Oryzias latipes: one gene and its partner. The protein of the gene in region 1 interacts with the protein of each later gene in a biochemical or structural test. Links are inferred from orthologs where the notes say so. Each region holds a gene or a part of one and is shown on either strand. Other genes may lie near its edges.

Region 1 (3,974 bases):
CTGTTTTCTGAGTTAGTGAAAGAAAATTGGAAGTCATCCAAGACTTGAAATCTTTGAAACTACACTGAACAAAAATATAAACGCAACAGTTTTGTTTTTGCTCCCGTTTGTCTTAAGCTGATTTCAAAGATCTGAACATTTCCTACAAACACAAAAATAACAATTTCTTTCAAATATTGTCCATAAAATCCGTCTAAATCTGTGATAGTGAGCACTTCTCCTGAGATAATCCCTCCCACCTCATAGGTGTGCCATATCAAGATGCTTTTTCCTCAGCATGATCTTTGCACAAGTGTGCCTTAGACTGGCCTCAATAAAAGGCCAGTCTGAAATGTGCCGTTTTGCTTTATTGGGGGTCTGGGGACTCAGAAAGCCGGTCAGTATCTGGTGTGACCAACATTTACCTCATGCAGTGCATCTCCTTCACACAGAGCTGATAAGGTTTGCGATTAAGGGAATGTTGGCCCACTCCTCTTCAATGGCTGTGTAAAGTTGCTGGATGTTTGCAGGAACTGGAACACGCGGTCGTATCCGCTGATCCAGAGCATCCCAAACATACTCAATGTGTGACATGTCCGGTGACGATGCTGGCCACGCAAGAACTGGGATGTTTTTCCAGCTTCCAAGAATTGTGTTCAGATCCTTGCAACACAGGGCCGTGCAATATCATGCTGCAACATGGGGTGATGTTGTTGGATGTATGGGATACAACGGCCCACCGGGTCTCTGTGCATTCAAAATGCTGTCAATCAAATGCACCTCTGTTCTGTCTGACATGTCCAGTAAAGAGAATGAGTCAGGATTTATTCGTGAAGAGAGCACTTCTCCATGTGTCATGTGAGCATTTGCCCTCTCAAGTCGGTTATGACAACAAACTGGAGTCGGGCTTTAGCATCGATGAGGACAACAAGCATGCAGATGAGCTTACCTGAGATGGTTTCTGTGGAGATTTTTTGGGGTTTTGCGAACCAATTGTTTCAGCAGCTGTCTGAGTGGCTGGTCTCAGATTCTCTTGAAAGTATACATGCCACCTGACAATCTGATGAACTCTGTGCAGAGAAGATGGGTTGCACTGCATGCCGCAAATGTTGGTCAAACCAGATACTGACCGGCTTTCTGAGTCCCCAGACCCCCAACAAAGCAAAACGGCACATTTCAGACTGGCCTCTTTTTGAGGCCAGTCTTTTGTGCAATAATCATGCTGTCTAAACAGCATCTTGATATGGCACACCAGTGAGGTGAGATGGATCATCTCAGCAAAGCAGAAGTGCTAAATATCACAAATGTAGGCAGTTTTGTCAGCAATAATTGAAAGAAATTGTTATATTGTGTATGTAGAAAATGTTTCAGAAATTCAAGTTCATCTCATGACAAAAATGACCAATGGAAATGTTTTCTGTGCTTCATACTAGTGTTGGAAGCATTTTGACAATGCCATATTCTATTAGCTGCAACAAAACGTTCTAATCAAGTATGTCAAACAAACAGCACTGAGGCCTAAAAGAACATGCACAGACACAAGTACAGGCAGCCATGAGGTCATGGTTACCTTCAGCAGAGCTATGATATGGGAAATTCTGACTAAAACTCATCACAAATTATTCTGTTCAAACGCTCACAGAGTTGATCTGCAGCAGTTTTCTCTGGGAGTTTAGAAATGAATATTAGATTAGAGACAGACTTGTTAAACAAAAACTTGTGGATTAAGAAAGACGGCTTAAATAAAGGTTTAATGGCAAAATGGAAATCCAGAGCTGTGTTTTTACTGTCAGGATCATGTTATTTTAATGAGACAGTCAGAGCAGTATTATAAGACAACACGAATTTGTAAAAGTCTGTAAACAAACTGTATTCCTTTATTATTTTTACTGCTATTTTTGTGCATTACTTGTGGTGTTTGTGGTATTGTGCCAACTTGGAAATGTACATAAATTACAGAAGTGTCACGCTGAAGCGGATTTATTTGGGAAGAAGTAGACGGTCACATAAGGTTAAGCCAACAAACAAAACATGTCCGCTTGTTTTGTTAACAAAATTCTGGGAAATCAACCATGATAAATAACTAAGCAGCTTCAACACATTCATGTTGTGTATCTGTATGTTTACAGTTTAACGCCGGTGCAAGGTCCCGGCGTCAACCCAACCGACCCCATCTTAAACCCGCGCTTAATGTTGGCCCGGGACCGATCTAACTGACGGGAACGCGGACAGACCAGATAAGATCAGCGCGATTGGTCAGTCGAAGATATCCCGGTTTGGAACTGGGGACCCGGTTCGGAACTCACCGATCATCAGCCTTCTCATTCGCTAAGCATTCTGGGAGCTGTAGTACATTTTCTCCTATGTTTCCGGCGTCGGTCCGCTGTACAGTGTGACGTAAACAACACCGGAAGTGTATGTACTTAACAAAAAACACGATTAAAATTCAAACTCTGACGATGAATAAACTCAACAGCCATTCAGTGGTTGTTTTTGAAACATCTAGAAAATAGCAGCTGGTACTAAATATCCACTACAGTCGATCTTTGATCGGAAAGGTTGGATGACTTATCCATGTGTCCTCAGTGACAGCAGATCCTGGCGCGCGCTCCTCAGCCGGAACCTTCTACAGGATACAGATAAAGTCAGCTTGCACTCGATTATTTTGAAATATTGGCTTATTTAAAGGGTGTATGTATGCAGATTGTCTCCCATGTGCTCTATAGCTGTGGTTTGACTTTGGATTAACCTTTATGTTCTGCCTAAATTTAAAGCTGACTGGATCTACAATTGATGGTATCCCCAAAAATTCCCTGTGGCTCCGTGCTTCCATGTGTGCTCCTCCTGCTGGAGGCAGGAAGTAAAAACAGCCTGGATAGAAGTTTATTCCAAAGACGAGACAAACATGTCAACAGCTTTATTCTATTGGCAAACACGATACAATGAAAACCACCATCACCCCCCCACTGCAACAAACCAACACAACACTGGTCTAAACTGTAGACAGGAGAGGTGTCAGAAACAAAACTGGAACATGGTGGGAGGGACTGAGTGTTTTTGTCTCTTGGTGAAAGGGGGGGGTCATAGGCATTGAGACCAAAATAAATATGTCACCATTAAATTAACTCCAAGCCAACTCTTTTTCAATAACTGTTCCTGGGCGGGCACAGGAAAAGCTTTTATTTTGGTGAGAGCTGCTCCAAATGAACGTGGAGTCCAGAGGCTTGAACTGACCAAACATCTGTCCCAGTTCATCAGCATGCTCCATACACCGTGGCGGGAGCTGGAGAACACGAAGAACACCTTTATATGTGAGGAGGAGCCAATGCTGTCATGACAACTTTGTTTCTGGAACATCAGAACATTCCACCTTACCAACAGACGTCTTAGGACCCGACAAGATAGTTTTCTCTGAGGAGCGCCGGGACACATCCCTCGGACTCCAGCGTGGATTTCTGCTAGAAGCTTTTATTTTGAAGAATAGAACACCCATTTCTGCCTGCTGATGATTAAACTGTTGTTATAGTAACCAAGATTGACTGGCCAGCCAGATAACAAAGAACACCGTCAGCCAATCAAAACACAGCATCAGCAGCCTGGCTGGCCTAATCAGCCCAATCCACTGGAGCGAGGTAGGGAAAACTGCCAACAGGGACAGAAAGTTCTTCTGACCATCAATCAACTAAATGGATCAAAAGTTGGATAACTGCTCACGGGTCCGGTGTCGATGCAGTTTTGGACCTGCTCGTCGTTTAAAGGACCAGTTTTGTGGATGAAAACCACAGATGATCGATCCAATCGTGTTTCACAGCGGCAAACTGGTTTGATGATCCAGCTTCATTTCCCATGATGCCTTTGGGAAACGGCAGGTGCCGCCATACAGGTGAAAGGGAGGTAAAAGGGGAGGGCAATTGTGTATGTTTGAATCTAATTACATTACTCCATACGCAAAGCTAAGTGTCAGTTCTGACCATACAGGTGTGACCGTATGCGGC
Region 2 (2,763 bases), on another chromosome or scaffold:
ACGGCTCATGTTGCCTGTGTTAGCGACAAAGTCAGAGAAGCCAGACTGAGATGGTTTGGACATGTTCAGAGGAGGGATAGTGGATATATTGGTAGAAGGATGTTGGAGATGGAGCTGCCTGGCCGGAGGGCAAGAGGACGGCCAAAGAGGAGATATATGGATGTCTTAACAGAGGACATGAAGTTGGCTAATGTTAGGGTAGAAGATGTTCATGATAGAGTGAGGTGGAAAAGGATGATTCGCTGTGGCGACCCCTGATGGGAAAAGCCGAAAGAGAAAGAAGATAAATTATACATTCTTTTTATAGAATAACTTCCTGGGAGTTACAAACCCGCTTTAATCTCAAATTATCAACAGTTATTTTTCGAAATTTACTGAGTGATTCCATAATAACTGACAATCTTGTTAGTTTTTCTGTTAAAAAGTGCAAACAGGAACAAAGTCACATCGATCATTAAACATGCAGGAGACATGCAGGGACTGCAACCTGACACACACGCTGATAAATAAATGTGAACCTTTATGACTACACAGCAGAGAAAAATAGTGCAACGTTTTTTAAAGTACATTGAAGGGGATCCAGGGCACAGGCGAGTCAACCTCGAGCGGCGCAACAGTATCAGAGTGCATGAAAACTTTAAAGCCATGTTCACACCGCCCTCTGCAATGCGCGTTCAAGCAGCACTTCCAATAAAAAGTCTACATAGACACGCGTAAATGCGCATTTCAGGCTAGCGCTTAAAACCTTTGCATTCACGTGTCGCTACGTACATTTTAAAGACAATTTTTGAGCTCTACATACAAAACGCACGGCCATTAAACCCGTGTTGAAAGTTAAACCAGGTCGAGCTGAAATAGCCAAAATTATACGACACCAGGTCTTTTGTATGTCGGAATAAAGCATGGATTTGCACCGCTTTGACATTTCCAACTGTTGGTGGTGGACATGTCAGTAAACAGTGGGGGGAAAACAGTTTTTTTCCTGCTAAATGTGCCTTCAAAAACGCGTCTTGAACGCGCATCACATGCCCGGTGTAAACGCAGTTTCAGAGAAGCATCAGGAGCGTCTTTAATACGTCAGGATTATTCAACTTCAAAAGCAGCATATACAACCTCCCAACTTTAATAAAGTGTCTGAGAACATATAACCGCAGAAAAACTATCATAGATATCTGCTCAGCTCTGGTTGCAAAATTAAAGACATCTAAGCAGACGGGATGCGGGCCGTGTGCTGGTTTCGTCCGTAGATGAGGAAGCCCATCGCTGTGCGCAGCTCCTCAAGCTCCAGGTTCCTCAGGAAGTTCCTCTGAAGCTCCGCCTCCACCCTGTTCCCAGCAGGTCCACTGCAGCCCTTCAGCAGAACCACAGCAGACTGGCACAGTAACCACTCAGCCAGCTTTCTCATGCCAGCATTTCCCTGTTTATCCAGAATCCTCTGACCCCAAAGGGTGAGGTGCAGCATGTTTGCTGCTACACGAGCACTGGGGCGCTACACGGCAGAGATAAGACAAACACATTGAATTTATTAGATTATCGCTATATCTGCTCCTATTTATGTAATTATTAACAATAATGATTACATGAATTCAACCATTTTGAAAAAAACTTTGCTTTACCTTTGTAGGACTCCTCCTGAGGAGTAATCGAATCACTAACTGCACATCAGCGGGGGCACTGGAATGCAGGATAGGGAGCTGCTTCTCCTGGTAGCTGATGCTATGCAGTCCAACAGCATGGTAGAATGGATTTGGTTCACCAAAAATCTCGTAGGAAATGGCGCCCACAGCCCACGCATCGGCCTTGCTGTAGTCGATCACGACTCTGCGCCCAGGGACTGCAGAGGCCACCTAATGCCAGAAACGCACAGAGAGACGATGAGCCCCTGCAGCCTGCAGACACTACACCAAACGGTCTATCCAAATTAGTAAAGTAGTGATCAAACAGCTAAGTGAACTGTGACACAGCCAATTAATACATCTCTTGTATTTTAGTTTTATGGAGTACCACAGGGAAATATGTTGGGGACTCAATTTTTTCTTTTTTACGCCATCTTTATCTCTTTTACTTGATGCTAAAATACACAATTTTATGATTTTTATAATAAATGTATTACGTTTTACTAACGTCAATCATTGGTTGGGGCATCTTACATTGAAATCAATGGAAATGGACATATTACAACAAGCCAGGAAGTGGTCACTTGATAACCTGATCTGGCAGCAGATACTTTTGTTTTTGGACCTGCTTCAAACAGGAAGTCATGGTGTTTCGCATGGATAATGCATGTTTTTATGATTATGACAGAGACATTTTCTTAATAAACCACTTCTGTTTTGATGATCAGGTGGTCGTAAACACTTGGCATTTGAATAAAAACAGAAGTCATGATCACTCAGTCATTGGGATCCATGACAATTAAGACATGCTCATATGTAAGCCAGTCCTTTAGTCTTCTTTATAAAAACCACCATATGAAGATTATTTAAAACAAAAATAAAGTATTTATACCTCAGGGGCCATAAGAGAGGCATTCCCCCCTCTGTCCACCCACTGGCTGTTGAAGGGCAGCTGCAAACTCTGCTCACTTTCAGCCAGACAGCAGCCGAAGTCTGTGATCACTAAACGGGGGCAACCATCTGTGCATAAAAACAAACAAAAATAAGACAAATCCGTGGAGCAGCTGATGTTAAATAAGGTGTTTTTCCAATCAAAGTCTGGTTCTAGAGCTCACCCGAGTCAAACTCCAGCAGCACGTTGTCTGAT

What was found.
Region 2: of the proteins of prkn (region 1) and pink1, one has a biochemical effect on the other in vitro, tested with the Homo sapiens proteins (12 studies listed by BioGRID, with this or other methods). The link is inferred for Oryzias latipes from reciprocal best matches to the Homo sapiens genes PRKN and PINK1.

Annotation. Positions count from the first base shown.
Region 1 is NC_019873.2:12,960,644-12,964,617, reverse strand, and holds the start of prkn (E3 ubiquitin-protein ligase parkin), read right to left. Parts: upstream 2,801-3,974; 5' UTR 2,305-2,800; coding exon 2,286-2,304; intron 1-2,285. UniProt on the Homo sapiens protein: Functions within a multiprotein E3 ubiquitin ligase complex, catalyzing the covalent attachment of ubiquitin moieties onto substrate proteins. Substrates include SYT11 and VDAC1.
Region 2 is NC_019865.2:23,696,226-23,698,988, reverse strand, and holds the end of pink1 (serine/threonine-protein kinase PINK1, mitochondrial), read right to left. Parts: coding exon 2,732-2,763; intron 2,637-2,731; coding exon 2,509-2,636; intron 1,848-2,508; coding exon 1,617-1,847; intron 1,490-1,616; coding exon 1,205-1,489; 3' UTR 501-1,204; downstream 1-500. UniProt on the Homo sapiens protein: Serine/threonine-protein kinase which acts as a sensor of mitochondrial damage and protects against mitochondrial dysfunction during cellular stress.